3 separate regions of the Mus musculus genome follow, and all the other regions are reported to be linked to region 3. Evidence: microRNA targets listed by miRTarBase, many of them from high-throughput screens and not tested one by one. Region 3 holds a microRNA gene; each other region holds the end of a gene's coding sequence.

Region 1 (7,198 bases), not on the chromosome of region 3:
AACGTTCTAAGAAGGTGGGTGGAGCTACTTCTCATTTGGGGCACTCAGCAGAATTCCTATTTGAAAACTGAACACAGACATTCAATAAAAGACTACAAGCCAATATCCTGTTATGAACAGACACAAAAATCCTTAATGTAGTATTACCAAATTGAATTGAGCAGTACTTAAAATGGATAATCCATCATGACTCAGAAAAATGTATCCTAGAAATGTAATTGACTTAACATTTGTATAGTAACTGTGTACCTTATCACAAAAAGACATAATTAATTAATTAATTAATTTATGTACTTGCTTATTTTCTGAGGCAGGTCTTGCTCCAGCTGTCTTGGATACCACAATGGCACCTCTGCTCCCAAGTACTAAGATGACAGGCCTATGCCAGGTAGGAAACAACTGTTTTTCTATGAACAGTGCTAGACATCAAAAACCAAACCTCAGATTTTACTATTATCACATATAAAATGAACTTAGCAAACAACAAAACTGATCATAAAAAGCAAAGCTGAAAATATATAGTAGAAAATACAGAAATTCCTTGTGACTTAGTTAAGAATTGATCTCTCAGCACGAAATGGAAGAAGAGAAAACCCCTTTATACCGGCCTTCACCAAAGTCTAACGTGTCTACTTTCTGAATAGTGTTTGAAGAAAACTACAGAGGAGAGAAAATATTCACAACAGTAACTCATAAAGAATTCTTATCCAGTGTTAGTTGTAAAATGGAGTAAAGAAATCAAAATTTAAAATGGGGAAATTTGAATCTATACTTCTCCCCAAAAGATAATGTCAGGTACGTCCATGAAAAACAGCAGCAGGCACTGGGATGCAGGCCAACCAGAAGTGCTTACCTGTCCTGGCGCTCAGTCTCCAGCATCATATAAACCCGGTGTGATGGGCCACACCGCCTCTACTGTCAAAGCTTGAAAGGAAGAAAACGGGAGATCAGTAGCTCAAGTTCGTCCCTAATTGTGTGGCAAGTTCACAGCTGCCTGAGCCAGAACACACGGCACTGTGTCAGAAAAGAGGAGAAAAAAGGAAGAAATGCAGCCCCACATCACCAGGGAAATACAGACTTAAAATATAACAACCACTAGCCTGTCTAAAATAATAAAGATGAACGATACCAAGATTGACAAAGGTATCAGAAAATGAACAACTCTTCAGCAGCTGCTCGTAAATCCAAAATAAGGCAAACTTTGGGAAATAATTTGGGAGACCTTTAAAAGTTTCATGTAAGCTGTACAAACAACAGGAGTTGTATCCATTTAAGATAAAGAAAGTAATACATGTGTCCATAAACAGAATGAATAATCTGTACATAGCAGCTTTACTCAGAATAAAGCAAAACAACCGAAACGTTCAATAGTAAGCTGTTGTATATTCCTACAAGAGAATACTCAGGAACAGAGCAGACAACATTGCTGACATACGCACTAACACGGATCACATACACTGTGCTCAGCAAACCATGCCAGGCATAAGAGTGCAAGTGTACAGTCTATGTGTTTGTAGTCCTATAAAGTACAGTCTAACTGACAGCACGGAAAGCAGACGGTCCTGGGTGCAGGCGAACTAGAATGCATAAAATGTTGGAGACTTTCTGGGTGGATGGGGAACTACTCGTGGTGGCAGTGACGGTGGAGATGCACCATCAGCAAACTTAAAGTGGTTGCTGTTCCCTATATTTAAATTATAGTCACTTAAGAAAAGACAAAGGTGGGTACAGGATATTATAACTCACTCCACATTCCCCCCTTCAGCTTTACGCATTACTACTATTCCAAGCAGTAGACCTTTTAGTAATGTTAGCAAATCTTTCTGTTGTCTTGTAACAAACATCATTCATTTTCAATAAAACCTCCACAACTTTAAAAAAATAAAAGAAAGCAAAAATTAGGATTTTCACATTTTGTTTTTACTAAATTTCATGCTTGCTTTGAAATACAGTCTTTATTGGTATTTAAGGGGGTCTTAGATGATCCTATGTGAGCCCAAAGCCAATCCTAGCATTTAAAAGAGTCCTTTTGGCCTCTGACCTACCTAAGGGAAGAGCTGGGGACATGCAGGTTATGCCAGATGACCTCACAGATGTACTGGCAGTTCTGAAGCACGGGTGCTGTTCCCCCACCCCCCACCTCCATCCCCACCCATCCCCTCCTTTTCATTGCTCCCCATTACAATGCAGCTGGAAGGAGCCGTGACCAACCCAGAGAAACAGGAGAACCAGACCAGTACATCCTGTCCTCCATCTCCCTGGGAGGTGGGAGGCTGAGCAGGATTCCTTGGTCACTGGCTGGTCTAAGAAGCAAAATGAAAGGAATTCATTCCTACCTAACCTGCTTACCTGCTTGCCCAACAGGTTCACATTGGTTAGCTTTCCCACCACCCTCCAAGTACAACATAGGCAGTTCACACATTAATACTCACAAGGAACTGAATATAGCCAAAGGGACACCATGGCTCTTACATTCATTCAATGTAGCCCTAGTCAATTTTGCACGTGGTTAAGGGACACAATTTCAGATAAAAATCTTCATTTCATTTAAACTTACTTCTGTAAAGGGGTAATTGACAAACTGCCCTGCTTTAATACTGGTTTTAGAAGTGAGTTTCTCTAACCTACAATGCCAGCAATCATAAACTCATCTCAGAAAATCCCGTTTTAGCACACACGCTGAAGATGATGACTGTGGTTCTTGTGCTAGCTCCTAAATCATTCAGACATACGCTATGTCATGAAACCCCAGCCTAGGATGTCTGTTACAAAGTGGGGTTTGAAGGGTTTCTGACTGAAGGAAATGTAAAAGCTGATTAATAATTAATTCTCTTATTGCTGGGAAAGAGGAGCCAGCCTGTGAGTCACCGTGCAAAGCATAATCTGCAAGCGGACAGGGCTGAGCTGTCCTGATACAATCATGAAAATACCAGTTTTCTAAAACAACTCCTTCACTGGTTTGAGCTAACAGCGATTTAAAATAGTTGCATGCTTATGCCATCACATCCTGCTTTGTCCAAAGGCTCTGGTTGCAGTACACATGAGCTCTGACATGCCTCTCTTATAACTTCCCAATACTGTCAGATAATTACGATACAATGCTTTGTACCCTGGGCACCTGCATCCTTGGAGGTATCACGAGTCTCAAGTTTACACGTATGGTCTCGACGTGTAACACTTGAGTAAGTATCTATAGCATATAAATTTTGAAACCAGAACAACACAAATCCATATTCAATATAATTTTAATCACTAACACTGTTGTTTATGATCATCCATTAAATATAATTATATCATTATGAGTATCATCTTCTCCAGATTCATAAAATTCGAGTGTTATTAGAATTAACAGCTTTAGTAAACTTTTATATACTGTTGCTCACACCCCAGCAAAACAATGGATGCATGTTTAGCTTCCTACACGGAATGATAGCTAAAGTATCTTTTGGGGTCTGGAGAAATGAACCTTTCTTTTTTCTTCGTAACTCATTCTCCCTCCCCCACATCTTACATCTATGTTGTACCTTATACTGGGGTAACAGAAAGACCAGCATGACCCGCCAATTCCAGGACAGTTGAAACAACAGGTTCAGCAGCAGCAACATGCAGGCCACGTGTGGGCTTGCCTCTTTGGAGGTAGAGGCACAGACTCTACGCTAAGAACAATCTCTAGCTGACAACCATCTTTCAGTTTCACAAGCAGTAACTTCATTCGGATAAAAGACTATAAAAATCTTTTCAAAATTCTGAAGAAGTGAGAAGTATTTCCGAACTAAGACAAGTTCTTCCTAGAACTAGCTAGCTAGCATGTGTAAGGGGCCATACCAAGTGGCTCACATATACTTCTACACAGGAAAAAAAAAAGATATACAAATCTAATTGTCAAAATCTAAGAGGAAAATCTCCAAAACAGAGGGAAAACCATTCACAAATTATATAATAAACAGGTATTTGTATGTAACATATCAATTCTCTTGGCATCTAGGTACTCTCTGAGAATATCCCTTGTTATTTAACAAAATAATTTTTTTAGTCATTCTAAAACTCTCTTCTATCCAGGGGCTAATTATCTGAAGATATAATTGGGGAGGGCGGTATATAATACTTCTTAAGAAAACTGCTGATTCTCTAACTCTGAAAACAAAAAACAAAAAAACAAAAAACTAGTGAACATTCCTCTAAAATACTTCAAAAATACCATCCTCATAAAAATACAGAGCACATTTATATGTCACAACAGTTTTTGCTAAGATTACATAATACAACTGAGATAATTTGTATCTCTGAAAGAAAAAAAAAGTTACATCAATAATAACTGCCTGAGCATCAGAATGAACAGCACCTAACAGTTGCATATGCTTGCACTATATATGCATATATATAAGTATACTGCATATGCTTGCACTATATATGCATATATATAAGTATACTGCATATGCTTGCACTATATATGCATATATATAAGTATATTGCATATGCTTGCACTATATATGCATATATATAAGTAAACTGCATATACTTGCACTATAATATATGCAACAAAAACAGTAACTCATAGCAATAATAGTACTGATTTGTGACTGTGACTGAGAATCTCTAATAAACTTTTTCTTGTGTTGTTTTATTTTCCCACCGATTTTGCTTTTTTCTGAGGCAAGGGCTTACTATGTTGCCCAGGCTGGCCTTGAACTTACAACTCTCCTGCCTTAGCCTCCTCAGTGCTGGGATTACAGGCCTCTGCTACCACTCCTGACACTGAGCTGCCTCCTTACCACACCCGTCCCGTATTTGTGGGATTACACTATTCATCACATCCCAGCTCCCCGTCAGTCACACCCTGACACTCTAAGAACTCTCTCTTTTTACTTTTATACTTAATTGAAATTGTAACTATTTTTTTTCATTTCACTGAACAGTTCCCAAAAAAGCTGTTTAGAAAGATGTTTATAAATTGTTCACTGCAAAGTTACAAGCAAGAAGTATTTGTCAGCAGTGGTAGATCATACCTGTATTCCCAGCAGTCTAGATGCTAAGGCAGGAAGATAACCCTGAGGCTAGCATGGGCTAAAGACAAGAAATGTTTTCAAGCTTCTTCACACTTTCAAAAATAAGAAAGAGGTCTGAGGATGCAGCTCGGGCAGGTGCTAATCCAGCGCTCTGGGGTACTTAGCCTCTCCCCTAAAAGAATAAAAGGAAAGAAACTTTTTTGACCAGGATAATGCAGAAATAGACTTTACTGACAATCTGCAAATGCCATTCATCTTGACAAAGGACTGACTTGTGGTAAAGATGACTCAATCTTGACAGTAAAATGAATCCATCTCTGACACACCAGTATCCAGTTATCAAGTCCTGAAGAAGACAGTTAGCACTTTTTAACTTTAAAGTCAAAACAGAAGCACAAATTAGAACATTAGCACAACAACAAGAACAACGAAACCTTCAAAGAAATGTTCAGGACACATACATCTGCATGCATTTTTAGGCAAACTTGAAATATTTCAAATATTCACATATAACAAAGCAATAACTTTGAATCCAAAAGAATGTCAGAAATATTCAATCTTGATGAAAACTTACACTGGTGAAGCAAGAAAAATGGGAGAATGACAACAGCAGATTTACAGGAGGGAAAGAAACCGCACACTTCCTTTATCACAAAGCAAAGTCTCCATGTCGGCACTGTAGTAACACGCCTGTCAAGACACACTATTCAAGAACACACTTTCCAAACTGTGCCTTTAAGGGTACTTTCCCATACAGTCAAATTAAATGCTTATCGATCAGAACACATTTCACGTAAGATGCTAACTCTAAGTATATATATTGAAGTTACAGAAGCATAGTCCGCTCACTGAAGAATAATTCCACAACTTGATTTTTCTATGTTTCACCTAAAAAATCGTTTTAAAACAGGATTTCTTTTTTCCCCCTCTTCCTCCACAGTGCATATCCTATGTCATCAAAACATTAAGTAGCAAACAAGCAAACAACAAAAAAAAAAAGATTCAAACATCTCTCCATTGTGTATGGCTTCACCGGGCTTTGATAAAGACGGAGCCATCTGGGGTGGAAGAGCCCTCTTCCTTCTCGTTTACGATCTCTACAGTCCCAGACGCCGACACAATAACCATTGTTTTATTTGCAGACACCGACTTCTGTTTTTCTGCCACGGCTGCACAAACAGCAACAATCTCATCGCTTTCAAAGTCATAGTCCGGGATGGACCCTGGAGAGAGGTCCGGGCCTTCCGGGGGCATTTCTTTGTTTTCAATCCTCTGGGCTACTTTCTGCTGTTCTTGGAGCTTTCTGGCCCAAGAAAGGTCTTCCTTCCAGAGTTCAGGGTTCATCGGATATATGTGCAGGGCTATTTGAAAGCTTCGAATTGCCTGGGAGGAAAGATGGTTTTATCTGGGTTATTTCTAAAAGTCGCCAAGTTAGGTACAGTTACATACCTACAAGTTAGTATGGGTACATATGTTGGCACACACACATTTATACAAATATAATTTTTACAATCAATTTTTTAAAAAGATAGGCTTCTGTCATAATAATTAGATAATTATGGTAGAGACAAAACACAAGTGTGATGGGGAAGGCTGACAAAATTCTGGTTTTAGTTTAAAAGCTACTAAATCAGGGGCACTGCTATGAGGGCTTAAGCATCTTAAAAGAATCATGCTATTCACATATTTCACCATGGGACAACTAGTATACCACATAATAAAAGAAAAAAAATCATAGGATTTGTCCCAATAGATGAAGATATATCATTTGACAAAATTCTGGATCTCTATGATTAAACACTTAAACACTTAAAGAAAGAGTCAAAGTCCTTAGTCATCAGGGAAATGCAAATAAAAACAAATCTGAAATGCCATCTTATACCTATCAGAAAGGCTAAGATCACAAACTCAAGTGATAGCACATGCTGGTGAGGATGTGGAGCAAGGGGAACACTACTCCACTTCTGGTGGGAGTGCAAAATTGTAGCCACTTGGGAAATCAATCTGCCAGGTTCTCGGAAAACTGGGACGAGTTCTCTCAAGACCCAGCTATACTACACCTGGACATATACCCAAAAGATGCCCCACTATACCACAGACACTTGTTCAACTATGCTCACAGCAGCTTTATTCATGATAGCCAGAAACTGGAAACAATCTAGATGTCTGCCAACTGAAGAATAGATAAAATG
Region 2 (7,198 bases), not on the chromosome of region 3:
GTGTACACCTGCACACTTGTGTGTACAACACACCCACATTCCACCCCACAGAGCGCAATCCACACCACAAACATACATATACTACACAAACACCCCTCACACCACACACACACACACACACACACACACACACACACACACACGAACATACACACTTGCCATGGACCAGATGGCTTAATTAACATCTGTTTTTTCAGCCAGGCTGGGAAGTCTAATGAAAGTTTAGTGGGTGCTTGTCTGTTGAGGACACTCATCTGCCTTACAGAAGCTGTCCTCTTCTTTAAGGACATGAAACCCACGGGGCATCCACTTTACCATCTCATGTAGATGAGCATCAGCTTGGGAATCAGGAATTTAATACATGAATGTGAGGGCTGTCAAGTGACGGGGATGTTACTGGTTTGATCTGGATGTCACCAAAATAGTTAGAGAACATGCTCTGTAGAGCCAGACTGTCACAGCTACCTAATAGAGTTTGCATGGTGGGCCTATATTTCAGCTGTATCTTATGTGTCCCACAGGCAAATATGTGTATCAGCCTATGACCCCCGTGGAGCAGCTCCCAAGCACAGAGATCCCTGCAAAGCCCCGAGAGCCGACTAACACCATTCAAATCTCCGTCTCGCTCACTGAACACTTTTTGAAATTTGCGTCTGTCTTCCAGCCTCCGCTTCCCCCTGACTCGCCAAGGTACTGTATGATTTCCGATCTCTTCATCGACAACTATCAGGTTAAATGTATTAATGGGAAGATGTGCTATGTGCAGAAGCAGCAGGCGCCCCACTCCCAGAAGATGAGCCCTGAGGAGGTCTCTGCACACGATGCCTTAATTTCTAAAGAGAGTGACACTCCGAAACTGGGTCACTGCTCCTCCCCTTCCGGTTCCGAGGACTCGGGGATCAACGCCATTGGGGCTCACTATGTGGAATCCTGTGATGAGGACACAGAAGAAGGGGCGGAGCTGAGTTCCGAAGAAGATTACAGCCCTGAGAGCAGCTGGGAACCCGATGAGTGCACCCTGCTCTCCCCATCGCAGTCGGATCTGGAAGTGATTGAAACGATGGAGACCACTGTGTAGGCAGCTGGGAACTGCGGCCGGAGGTCCACCCTGAGCCTCTTCTGTTCTTTGATTGGACGAGTCCTTTTCCAATACTCTTGGCCTTTTCCAAGGCATATTACTAACAGTCGCAGTCCAGTGGTCTGCTTAGTGTCCCCTTATATTACCTTGTAACGACATTGTTTCCTTTTGTATCTTGCTTTCTATGTAGCATCTGGTGTCATGAGTTGTGACCCAGCCTTAATTTCACTGAGAACTTTGAGAGCAGTGGTGACCACAGCGTATCCAATGGAAGAGCTACCCAGAGTGGAAGTAACCATATTTTACCAGTAGCCTGTCCTACGTGATGAAGGCTCAGCTTCCCTTTGGCGTGTCATGTGACACCTCTGTCCTGTTGGTTTCCGGGTGGGGGAGCAGCTCACTTCTGGAAACAGTGTTGCAGCCACTGTTCCCTCCCTTGCTCTTCTGTTTGCCACCCACATTGGCTCAGGACAAGAGTGGCTTCGGCTACTTCTAGGAGGTCCTTGGAGGCCCTTTTGACTCCTGGTGATGGCCATGTCACAGCATCTGTGACTGAAAGGGTCTCTGGGGTTTGTGTCCAGTCCAGCTGGGATTCAGGAGGACTCAGTCCTGGTTCTCACCTCGAAGGGGCCACATTTTAGTACAGGACACAAGTCAAGCAGCTCGCTGAGCCAGGAGGATAATGGGATCAGGGGAAGGAGAGTGGAGTTGGCCTGGGCTGGCTGAGAATGTGGCTGCCGTGTCTGAGCTGACCCCAGGTGGATTCTACAGCGCCCACTGCCCTTGATTGTTTTGCAGTTCAGGGAGAAGCATTTAGGTTTCGTAGGTATTAGAGTTAGGAGGTAACACATCTGACATCTTAAGGAAAAAATACACACTAGTTTTAGTTAGCATGAAAATGCTAAGAGACAGAAGTCCTTTAGGGATTAGGAATGAATCTAATAGGTTTGATCAATCCTGCTTCGTTTGGTTGTATGAAGCATTAGAATGGCTTAGATGAGAAATGGACTAGAATTTTGTATGATGCATGGATTTTATGCAAATGCAAAAACAGTTGAAATAGCTCACTGCTGAGTCAGGAAGATGTTTTATGTAACACTTCTTCACTTTACTCCACTGGAATCCACACACATTGTGTGGATTCTCTCTCACACACAAAATAGTGAGTAATTCTTATGTAGCTTTCTTCAAAACTCTGTTCCTAATTTGCTATTAACTGTGTATTCTCATGTGATCTTATTATCTGCCATTTCCCCAAATATATCTGTGAGGCATAGTACAAATCTGGGACTTTTAAAAATATACTGTCATAAAACAAGAGTCCCAGGGCTGCAGGGAGACCTGCCTCAGATCCTGGCTGTCTGAGCAGGCACTGTGGCCTTGCTGTGTGATCAGCATCTCTCTACATCCCTCTGTCTCATTAGTGTGTACTGCAGGCAAGGAGAGCATGCTCCCTAGGCCTCCTCATTTGGGGGCTCTTCACTATGTACGCAAGGAAGAATCTGCTTCCCTAGTTGGATATGGAGTCCCAGTGCTTACTACTAGAACCTTCTTTAGGCTGCCTATCCCCAAACACCCAGTGTTCAGAAGGCAGAATATATGCCTTCCTCTGGAAAGCATTAGTTAAAACGCCCTGTGTGAGATGAGAATGTAGCAACTCCTCCCTCTCCCCACATACTTAAGGACTCACACCAAGGACCAGCAGACACAGGGAGTGAGGATTCACCAAAGACCAGCAGGTACAGGGAGGGCAGGTGGGAGCCACCATATCTTGGCTGTGGGGTCATTCTGCTGGCCTGGGATGGTCTGGTGACACCTGGTGGGCCCAACTGAAGGTCGTAGTGCCTCACTGTCATGGAAAGGAAACACATGAGCCACATATCCCTCATCCTGCACTCGTGGCTGTGATGGGCAGCAGCGGCACCATCCTCAGACCCTGAGGTGGAGAGGCAGACACACGGCAGGACTTACTCCTGCACCTTTCCTATCTACTTTTTTGCTACAGGGCCACTGCCACAAATACTAAACTAACTGGGATCTAGAACCCGGGCCCCAAAGCCATGAAAACACACGGTCATTGCCAAAGTTCTGAAGGCTAGCTGTGTGTTGGGCTTGGTCCCTTTATTAGTATAACATCTGTGACTTCTGTCCAGGGTCTTGTTTTCTAAACCCCTGAAACTGCCACTCAGACTTGCCACCATTGTGATGGGATTTTTGGATTTAATAACAATTGGTGATCACATTAAATATTTGCACCAACTTTATAACTACATTCACTAAGCTTCACTTGCCGTTTTATAAAATTGGACACGTTCCCTTGCATTCTTGGATCTCCAAACAGCCTTTTCTAAAGAAGCACAGCCGAGAGGTTTTTGGTTTTCTCCTCCTAACAGACTTCATACCAGTAACTGTCTGAAATATGACTAAGCCAGAATCATTTCTCTATGCTTGCAGTCTGAAATCAGCTCAAGAGACTATAAAAAAATTGTATAGCTTAACCACAATTCTAGGCCTATTCTGTTCTTTGTTCTATGAAAGAATTTCTCTATAATCCTGATATTATAGTGCTGATTTGTATATGCGTATTCATAGGCACTTTAGAAATACTTAGACACAACATGCACTGTAGGCGGTAAGCACAGTGGTGTTAAATAGGCTTTTGACTAACACTTGTACAGTGAGAGAGACAAAAGCTTGCAATCTGGACCTTATAGGATGCTTGCCTGGAGCTAGGCTTGGACCACGTGGATAGGTTTTTGTGGGATTCTGGCACTGTTACCACTTTTGAAAGGTTGTTGGGTACCAGGGTAATCCCACTAAATGTGGAGTATACTTTTCTTACCTAACCAAGATCTTAAGTTTCAAATGTGTCCATAGCTTTTGTTTTTTGTTTTTTGTTTTTCTGAGAAATGACAAAGCAATTAAAGTCCTTTTTGGGATAACTATTTGATATCTTTAAAAAAAATGAACTTTAAAACCTGGGGTTTTTTTTGCCTTTAACATTTAAGGAATAATATGAGAATCTGAGGACAACCCTGAAGACAAAGTTGTTTTCCTAGAAGAAAAGACTAATGCCTCAAGGTGAACAGACTAAAACCTGAGCCACAGAATCCAAACACAACACAGCACAACACAGTGTAATATGGAGCCACAATGTAACACAACACAACACAGTATAATAACAAATTAACAACACAACACAGTATAACAAAATAACAACACATCACAGTGTAATAACAAAATAACAACACAACACTGTATAATAACAAAATAACAACACAACACTGAGCCTCCGATCAGAAGCACATGGCTGTTTTCTGACAAGCCTTTAGGACATGATCTATGATCTGATTGTTTGTTTTACTTTTTAACCTCACCTGCTTGCCTGATTGAAGTAACTTGTTCTTCTAGGGTTGATCAGAACAAATTATTCTTATGCAAATTTGATAGCAACCAGACACTTTAGAAAGTCAAAATATCCATATATGCCTGTAGTGCAGATACTGCCATGTAAGGGGAAAAAAAAAGCACAAATTTAAGTAAAATACTCTTTATGTCATCTGCTCTTGATTGTTCCCAAATCCTATTTACAAAACTTTATTGTCATGGTTTTGGCTTTTTACTTGAGGAAAATATTCTAACTGGTCTCTTTCCTTCCTGTTTGTCCAGCGGTGCTGTGAACTAGAACCGTGGGTAGAGGCCGGGTACCCTGGGGTTTGTGGAGAAGGTGTCACTGTGCCCCTTCTTTGTACTACACAGCCCAGAGCACCATCTTAAACCTCAGTATAAACACAAGGGCATTTCTCAAAATGAATTTGTTTTTAAATTTCACCTTGTCGTGACTATGGTACGGGAACACGGGTGTCCCAGAAGGGCTGGTGCAGTTCAGGGGGAGCTGCTTGCTGCGGAGGTAAGGCACCTGGAAGCCAGCCTAGGGTTTGGATGGCGCCTCCAGGGCACTGGGTCTGCACGTGGGTTAAGGCTGTCTGTCCTTTGCAGTAGTCACCTGCTGTGCTAGGTTCTTTTGAATCTGTTTTGAAGTTTAAGCACAATGTTGACCCTTCTGTAATTTCCTAAAATTACATTGTTTTCCTAAGACAGCTCAACTTTAGGAAAGTACTGCTGTACAATAAACGTGGTTTCCTTTTGTACTAGAACAAGACTGCCGTTGGGGTTTTTTGTATCAAGTGTTCACTGTGTGTTAGGAGATAAGCAATTCATACTCCTCACCCATTCAAATTTTCTAGATCTTCGTGTGTGTGTGTGTGTGTGTGTGTGTGTGTGTGTGTGTCTCGCCACTTGTGTTAACTCCCAGAACTCCATGTAAAACCTTGTGTTGGCTCCCATCAGGTTTATATGAAGTAAAAACTATGACCCCACAAATAACATTTTTTTTCTGGCACCAGTTTAGGCCCCCATTTCAGTTCATGAATGCTGTGTAAGATAGGTGCAGATACAGGTTGAGCAGTGAGGGAGGCTACTACCCCATGGAGCTCAGGGCCACTTGATGGCTAAGGCCAAGGGTCAAACTTCACTATGGCCAGTTCTGAATTTTTTTTTTTTTAAAAATCCTTTCTATTTTATGTACTTTGTTTTATTTTATCTGCCTGTATGAGGGTATTGGATCTCTTGGAGCTGGGATTACAGAAGAGGAGGAGAGGAGGAGGGGGAGGAGGAAGAGGAGGAAGAGAAAGAGGAAATTGTCTCAGGTCTAAGACAACCCCAAGGTGAGCTGTCATGTGGGTACTAGGAATTGAACTTGGGTCCTCTGAAAGAGGAACTGGAGCTGCTCTTCAGCTCCCAGAAACTCCTGTTTGATTCAGTATGTCAGCTTCTGGGCTTGGGTCCATGGCACAGCTGTCCCCAGGCAGTAGTGCCTTCACTGAATTCCTGATGCTGCCTTACCATTTCCAGTGTGGTCTTCCTAACATCCCATGTGGAAACAAGGGCAGCCCAGAAAGCACGACAGTGGCACCATTCACTAGTCAGGGTCAGATTTGAACCCAGGACATTGGCCCAGGAGTCCACACTGATGGCCCTTTGCTTGCACTACTCCATGGCTACCTACAAGCTAGCGAACACTGCCCGAGCCTGGTGGCTTGCCACACAGTGCCACAGAAGGGCTGTGGTCTAGCCTCCCCTTTCAGTGTACCTGATTACCTGCTCACATGCAGTCTTTCCTACCAGCTCCACATTCGGATTGGTCCATCAAGGACAGCGGATCTCATGTGCATGTACAGCTCAGTAATTTAACTCTGCAGAATGGCACTACCACATGCTGGAAAGCATCTTATTGTTCGTAGTCTTACAAGTGCTGACTGCCTACAACCGTTCTGCAGTAAGCCAGGCTAACATCTTGTCCTCATTGGGAACTGTCAATGTCCTTAACTCTCATTGTGCAGCTCAGCACAGAATGAAGAGGGTAAGATGGCACCTGTCTCTTGGCAGTGAGTTTCAGGAGAGATGTTCAGGTGGGGGGCCTTAGGAACCAGGGAGACACGATGGAAGAACTCGGGAGGCCTGGGAAGGATGCCGAGTTATGCGGGTGGTTTTGTTACTTTTTTGAGTTTTCTAAAATGAACCTGTATTTCCATTGGCTAAAAGACCATTTCGTTTGAAAATGGAAGGTGGGTGTCCAGGCAATGGCCACAAGACTGTATCTTTTGAGAGTCAAGGGCATTGCTGGGAGCTTGGAGCCAATGAGCGTCCATTGAAGAATGAGCCTTTCCCAAGGGCTCCAGCCATGGCTGGACGCTGGTGGGTCAGGGGAGGTCTCCCTTTGTTTCTAGCTGGAGATTGCCTAGGAAATCTGGAGATGAAGGATTAGAAAGGTTGGGCTTTGGGGATGTTTGAGTCCCGTGGCATCCAGCCTGTCACCTGGTGTGAAACTCCAGACAATCTCAGCGCAGAGATCTGGTTCCCTGTAAGATGACCAATGCTAGCGTTGTAGACTTGTGGAGCGCTGCAGGTTGTAGGCACCTGTGTCTCACAAGCATCTCCCCACAGAGCAGGTTCTTCACTGTCCGTGTGTGTGTGTGTGTATGTGTATGTGTGTGTGTGTGTTGACTGAAGCACAAGACTCAAGTCAGATGCAGAGTTCACATGGCAGGGACACAGTCC
Region 3 (7,198 bases):
GACAGGGCACCCCACGATGAGGTTCATAAGGTTCTTGTTCAGTTTCACCCCTTTGGGGGATATGTTGAAGCCCAAGATTTCAGCGGTCTGGCGATGGAACTGAGTTTTGTCCAGTGAACAGTAGATGTTGTGATACCGAAAGCGGACCAGGACTTGGCGGACATGCTGGGAGTGTTCCTCCTGGCTCATTGAGTAGACCAGGACCTCTCTGCCATGGCAAATCACAAACAACCCTAGGATGTCTTTTAGGATGAAGTGAACAATGTTGTTCCCTTCGTCAGAGTATGAGTTCATTGTGAAGGGCCGGTAGCATCTCATCTGGTGAAGGCCGAAACCGAACGATGCTCTCCAAGTGTCTTCCGTGTGTGTGACCGTGTGCCTCATCTCACTTTCCTTAATCCCAAGCAGCTCCAGTTTTGTGAACCATGCCGCTCCATGTAGCTGGTCGAATAGCTCTGGTACCATCTGCGTGTAGTCTTGTCTGTCAGTCAGCATGTCATACAGTATCCAGTATTCCTCTTGCTCCCTGGCTTTCTCTTGCTGCCTGGCTTTCTCTTGCATCCTGGCGCTCACAGGTTCCAAAGTCTCTCGGGCCCCAGACTCGTAAAAGACGCCGCTTTGATCACTGTCTCCAGCCTGCTGAAGCTCAGAGGGCTCTGATTCAGAAAGATCATCGGATCCGTCTGAGCTTGGCTGGTCGGAAGTCTCATCATCTGCCTCCCTCGGGTTAAACACGTCGGCCAGGTCTGAGTATGTGTGTGGCAATCCGGGCAGTAGGCTTATGCTGTATGTCTCTAGTGCGATGCATGGTGGAGGTGGGGTGAAGCAATTCCGCAGACAGTAGGGAGAGTGGAAGGTACACCGGCCTCTCATCCAGTCGACTTCAGGGGCATGGGTTCGGAGCCACTTCATGCCTAAGACGATGGAGAAGTTGGGCGAAGGTAAGATGTCAAATTCGATGTACTCATAATGCTTCTGGTGGACACATACCAGGGGCTCGGTGCACAGCCAGACGGGTTCATTGCCAATTGGGATGCCATCCACACCTTGGATTATCTGTGGATAAGGCTTCTCATAGAGTTCCACATAGTGTTCCTGGGCAAACCTCTCATCCATGTAGTTCCCTTCTGCTCCTGAGTCCACCAGGGCCCGCACTGCGACACTGTGGTAGGGGTCCACTCTCACCAAGAGCAGTAAGAAGAGGTGATCGCGATCAATGTCTGGGTGGAACTCATTGGGCAGCCAGCTGCTTACCCTCCACTTCTCTGGGGCGGGAGCATCCATCCAGGCTACGCTTCTTGGGCGCGACTCAGGTGGCAGCCTGAGTAATGCTCTTCTCTCTGCCAGCTTTTCTTCAAGTTGCAGGACAAGTACAATCAGGTTGTCTAGGGAATTCGGCTGAGGGATCCGGAACAGATAGTGCCTGATCTCTTCGTTGAGCCCCTGGCACAGGTGGGCCTGCAGGACTTCATCTGGCCAGCCTAAGGTGGGTATCAGACCCCGGAACTCATTGATGTAATCGGCCGCACAGCGGTTCCCCTGCCTGATGTTGAACATGGCGTCTTCCGCCACACGCAGGGTCTGCCGATACTCAAACTTTTCTGACATGGCCTCCAGGAAGGCTGAGAAGTTGTTTATCACTGGGCTGTTCTGCTCTACGAGGTCGTTGGCCCATTCCAAGGCTAGGTCAGTCAGGTGGCGGATGACGAATTTCACCCGCAGCTCATCATTGTATAGCATACTTGGGTAGTTCTGCATTGTCATCTGGCAGAGCACGACAAACTCATGGTAGTCTCTGCGATCTCCAGAGAAGGGCCTGAGGGAGGGCAGGCGACCTTCGTTGATAGCCTGCATCATGAGCCTTTCTGCCACTCTCTGTTGTTCTTTTAGGTCTTGCATCCGGAGGAACAGCGAGATGACGTTCCCCATGGTGGCCACGACTTCTTCTGGAGAGTTCTTGGGCTGACCTTCCTCTTCACCACCTTCCTCTTCCTCCTCTTCCTCGTCATCTCCCAGGTCAGTATCATCTTGGTCTGACTGGGTCTCGGATGAGTTGATTGTTTCATCCATGCTATAATCGGATGCCTCACTGAGTGGTTCCGACCCTTCCTGGTTTGAAATATCACTTGACTGGTTTGAACTGTCGCTTGACTCCTGGTTCGAATTATCGCTTAACTCCTGGTTTGAATTATCACTTAACTCCGGGTTTGAATCATAGCTTGACTCCTTTTGTGAACCATCGCTGGACTCCTGGTTTGAACCACCGCTTGACTCCAGGTTGGAAACATCGCTCGACTCTGGGTTTGAACCAAAGCTCGACTCATGGTTTGAACCATTACTTAATTCGTGGTTTGAACCATCACTCGACTCCTGGTTCGAACCATCATCACTTGATTCCTCCATGTCTTGGGGTAGATCGTTAGATGATGCCTCACAGGGGTCGCTGGATGGCTCCTCCACTTCCCGGAGTAGATCAGTGGGTAGCTCTTGCATTTCCTGGTAGGGGCCACTGGATGGCTCCTCCACTTCCCGGAGTAGATCAGTGGGTAGCTCTTGCATTTCCTGGTAGGGGCCACTGGATGGCTCCTCCACTTCCCGGAGTAGATCAGTGGGTAGCTCTTGCATTTCCTGGTAGGGGCCACTGGATGGCTCCTCCACTTCCCGGAGTAGATCAGTGGGTAGCTCTTGCATTTCCTGGTAGGGGCCACTGGATGGCTCCTCCACTTCCCGGAGTAGATCAGTGGGTAGCTCTTGCATTTCCTGGTGGGGGCCACTGGATGGCTCCTCCACTTCTTGGAGTAGATCAGTGGGCAGCTCTTGCATTTCCTGGTGGGGGCCACTGGATGGCTCCTCCACTTCTTGGAGTAGATTAGTGGGCAGCTCTTGCATTTCCTTGAGGGGGCCACTGGGTGGCTCCTTTTCTTCCTGGGCTGGGCCACTATCTGAGCCCGCCTGGGCCTCAACCTGGGCCTCAACCTGGGCTTCAGCCTGAGCCTCCGCCTGGGCCTCCACCTGGGTCTCCGCCTGGGCCTCCGCCTGGGCCCCTGCCTGGGCCCCCGCCTGGGCTCCACTGCTGCCTGGTGTCTCTTCAACGGTGTTGGATGAGCCCTCGGAGGACTCCATTTGTTTTGATGATGGATTCTTAAGCTCCATCATCGTCTCAAATGAGTCTTCAGAGGGTTCTATCATGTCGTCGGTTGGAAAGGAGTGTGCTCTGAAGACTGGTAAGATTGTGATGTGTGTGGTCAGAGACCGCAACTGTGGAGACCAAAACCTAGGGACAGAGGGATAAAAGACAGGAGAAAATGTAGCAATTTAGGTTCTCAAGATGGCAGGGTCAGATTCTATCTCAAGGACAAAGCAGATGCCAAGTTACTAGAATCAGAGAGAAAATGGAGAAATTCCTCCTGCATTCAGTTCAGCCTCCTTTTCTGGTTACTTGGGGCACCTCCAGGGGAAAGACCGTCACCCCCTGACCTGCCTTCCAGGCGGAGTCTGACTACCCCACCTGCCTACTTCCTCTAGTGGAATGAGAAATTCACAGCCCATAAATTTTGTGGAGCAACTGGCCTGGAGCGTCCTCTGTGGCGAGCTAGCACCTGGCAGGGCACACTTCTGGCCCGCTTTGCCCTGGCCAGGTTCCCTTCCCATTTGTAGTCACCCAAAAGTCATAAAGGTCACATCTCAATGCCACTCAAAGCGGCTGCTGGCAGGCTTGGTGGTCTAGAGCCAGCCCAGTGAGCTTGGTTGGAGGCGGGAATCTGCAGGGAGATGCCTGCTATTTCACAAACTGGGGAAAGAGGAGAAATTGGGCACTTGGCCACTATCCTGCCAGTTGGGTCAACAGCCAAAAATAGCTCTTATTTCCTCCTCTAGGCTCCAAGCCGAAATAAGTGAGAGAGAGCCATGGCTTTTGGTTTTAATTTTGCTCCCCATAAATGTTTATAAAATGCCTACTATGTGCTGAAAACATGCACTTTCATGGCTTCATCCTAGGTCACACTTTGTGCATATGCAGGATAAGAGGGGGGTGGGGGAGGGATAGTATCATTTCTCTTGTTCGGTTTGATCTCTGTCCAAAGCCACGTTTTCTCCAGCTCTGAGCTGAGTCGGAGCTTTCTAAACACCCTTTCCCGGGCTTTCAAAAAAACTGTTCTCCCAGGATTGCCTGGTCTGCAGGGCTCCTGCAGCTTTAAACATCTGGCCTCAATTCTGCTCATGCAAACATTTCTGCACGTCTCACAAATGCTATCTTTCCAAGTTTCTCCTCTGCTTCGGCAGGAGCAGGGTTTTCGTTCTCAAAAGTGCCCCCCCCCCCTTTTCTGTCACTGTTGATTTCGTCTGGTACAGGGGTATATCTAACAGAGGTATGAAGTTGGGTGAAAGGGGGGGCATGGGACCTTTGAAATCTGATTGTTCCGTAATTTTTGAAAATCTAGCCATGGAGGGTTTAGTGCACGGAAATTGAATTTAAAGGGATGTATTGGTTTGCAAAACAAATTAAGCTAGTTATTCAATAGCTCAGCCATATAGCTATTGTCTTTATGAATTCTGCACCTTCTGTTACTTCTCAATTTTCTTTTTTAAGGTCACTGGGCTGACCTATCCAAAAACAGAAACACACACACATACACACACAAAACCAAATAAACAGAAATCTCCCATGTTGTCATTCATGTAAAACTCCCGTTGGCCATCCTCCAAACCTTGCAGCAGGATGCTTTTGGGTCTGCAGTTTCTCAGAATTAGACATCTCCTTGTTAGCATGACACTTAAATTCGATCATGCAACCCCTCTGATTAAAGCCTCTCACTGTTTATTTACTGTCGGCAATATTAAATCCAAACCTTTTATATAAACATGTCTGACATGTAAACTTACCAAAAAAAAAAAAAAAAAAAAAAAAAAACTCCTGGCTGAAATTGAAAGGCCTTAGCATAATGTCCACGTTGGGCTTCTCATTCCTAGAACTGGAGATCACAGGTCCTGAGCCTGCTGTACAGACCATCAGCTCAGAAACATGCACAGCATATTACATAAATCAACTTATTTCCTCTTTCAGGAAAAGTCGTCTATTATTAAAATATAAAATTTGACTAATTCATCCCCAAGTTCATCTGCGGGACATAAAAATCTCAGCAGGTCTCCACCTAAAAATTGCTCATGGTTTCAATTTTTAAATTTGCAGCAATCCGATTTTAAAGCTAAATGATACCCGTTCTAAATAAAATGCCTATACTTAAAATATTACAGACAAATTTGATCATGTAAGGGATTAGATATTTCTGCTTTCCAGCCCTCAACCAAAAATCTCTTGTCCTAAAAATTTTAATATGCCTGGATATCAGAATAAACCTTTAGTTGAGATAAACAATTTTCATCTTATGATTTTCCTATTTAACGCACACATATTCACATACACAGACATTTCTTTTCTTTACCATGAAGTTCCAGTTGCTTAGCATAAATTATTTTTAAACCATGTGATTTAATCAACATAATCAATACAAAAACCCACAGTTTCACAGGCCACAATAAAACATCTTTGACAAAGTCCAAAGCTATTGTATGGTAACAAATGTCGAGCTTCCTGCAACATGCATGTACTTATGTTCTGCTTAACGCCTCACAAAGTCTCTGCCTCACCTATGGAGACCAAGTCTTAAAGTATGATCATAAAGCCATACGTTTCTCAGCAGACTGAGACTATCCAACATGCAAAGCTCATGATATCACTCTCCTAAAAATCTCATCGTGGCTGGCATCCAAATTCTTCAGCATGGCATGAGAGGACTCCTCACACCCCTCACCACCGTGTCGAACCTGACACGCTATGTAAATGTCATTCAACCTCTCATCTGGAGGTCACCCCATTTCTCTGCACAAAAAGAAAAAAGTCCCACTGGATGCCCTGGTACTGAGGGGGCCAGTGGACAGTCACCCACGCAGTAAACAGCACACCAAATCCACATACCTTAGCATAAAAACACGCTTCAACATCATCAGATTCCTTTGAACACAAAACTCTTCACCATTTCACTCCTTAAAATCCTTCCTTGGCCAAACTCCAAGCATCCCGCAGCACCCCCCGCCCCCATGCAAAAGGATCAGAAATGATATCTCACCCCTCACTCAGGATGCAATAGTGCCTTCAGTTTGCACATGGGTCAAATCTCCTAAATATATTACAGTGTCCACTCCCTTCTCTGCTGAATTCACAGGCTGTAAGGAGTCACTCCCAGATTTAAAACGTTGCAAAGTTTCTATGTAGCATGAAGCTCCAAATTCTTAACAGACAGTACAGGATCTTATCATGTCACGTACCAAAAAAAAAAAAAAAAAAAAAAAGAAAGAAAGAAAGAAAGAAAGAAAGAAAAAGAAAAAAAAAAAAAGAAACCAACAAATCTCCCATCACACTTTGAAGCCGTTTGTTGGCTCAAGTCCAAACTTACTCAAGTGATATTATAATCTGATACGTCATCCCTTAGAATAAAATTCGCACGTCTTAGCACAGTTCATTAAATTTGAGCTTGTGACCCCACCTTAAAAACTCGGCAATGTCTCTTAATTGTGCAGGACATAAAAAGTCTAGATTCTTGGCATGCGGCGAGAATTTGATTTCATAACAGAGCTATGTTATATCTATCAAACACAGAAAACTCACCATGTCACTCCGTTAGAATTGGATAAATCAAATTTTTAAACATGTGCAAAAACCTCATCACGTCTGAGCCTCTAAATAAATTCCAAACTTCTCTGCATAGTCCCCAACTCGGCCATGTAACTCCTCTAATTGAAACCTTTCCTTGGTGTCTACATTAATCATAGCTCCTTGGCTTGCCCTGAGAGTCAAACTTTGGCATTCTCTCCACATAGAAAGTCAGAGTGTTTGGGCACGATCTTAAATGTGTGCCTGTTCACTTTCCTAGTTATGATTTCTCGGTGTTTCTTGTTGCTTGTAATAATAAAGTCCAAAGCTGTTAGCCATAAAATATGTTTTATCATTCATTCTACAAGCTTATCTCCCACAAGCAAGCAATCTCACCATTAAGTTTTTTTTTTTTTTTAAAGCCTTTTGGCAGAAGCCCAAAGCCCTTAGTGTGATAGAAATTTTTGATTTCTCAAAATAAAGTCCAGATTTCTACCCCAGAAACTTAAATTGATTCACAAAACTCCCACTTAAAATCTTCTCCTACAT

The links. Region 3 holds the annotated microRNA mmu-miR-136-5p (ACUCCAUUUGUUUUGAUGAUGG, at 3,117-3,138, shown strand). A microRNA usually pairs through its seed, bases 2 to 8, with sites in the 3' UTR of a target mRNA and lowers its output. Matches are read on the target gene's strand: a 7mer-m8 pairs with bases 2 to 8, a 7mer-A1 pairs with bases 2 to 7 and ends in A, and an 8mer does both.
Region 1: miRTarBase lists Ttc33 as a target of mmu-miR-136-5p. Seed matches in the 3' UTR shown: 8mer at 6,018-6,025 and 7mer-A1 at 5,669-5,675.
Region 2: miRTarBase lists 2510009E07Rik as a target of mmu-miR-136-5p. The part of its 3' UTR that is shown has no 7-base or 8-base seed match.

Annotation. Positions count from the first base shown.
Region 1 is chr15:5,216,341-5,223,538 of GRCm38, reverse strand. Ttc33 (tetratricopeptide repeat domain 33) reads right to left here. Exons shown (of 5, transcript NM_026213.3): 5 at 5,203-6,389. The coding sequence ends at 6,036. Among named protein-coding and RNA genes, the nearest start is that of Ptger4, 24 kb to the left of the region's middle.
Region 2 is chr16:21,647,082-21,654,279 of GRCm38, reverse strand. It overlaps 2510009E07Rik (RIKEN cDNA 2510009E07 gene), which reads left to right. Exons shown (of 2, transcript NM_001001881.2): 2 at 522-5,235. The coding sequence ends at 1,078. Among named protein-coding and RNA genes, the nearest start is that of 2510009E07Rik, 44 kb to the left of the region's middle.
Region 3 is chr12:109,592,215-109,599,412 of GRCm38, forward strand. Mir136 (microRNA 136) reads left to right here and starts at 3,113; the gene lies at 3,113-3,174. Rtl1 (retrotransposon Gaglike 1) reads right to left here. Exons shown (of 2, transcript NM_184109.2): 2 at 1-3,274. The coding sequence starts at 3,189. 6430411K18Rik (RIKEN cDNA 6430411K18 gen) reads left to right here. Exons shown (of 1, transcript NR_002848.3): 1 at 1-637. It overlaps Mir127 (microRNA 127), which reads left to right and starts at 632; the gene lies at 632-701. It also overlaps Mir434, Mir432 and Mir3071.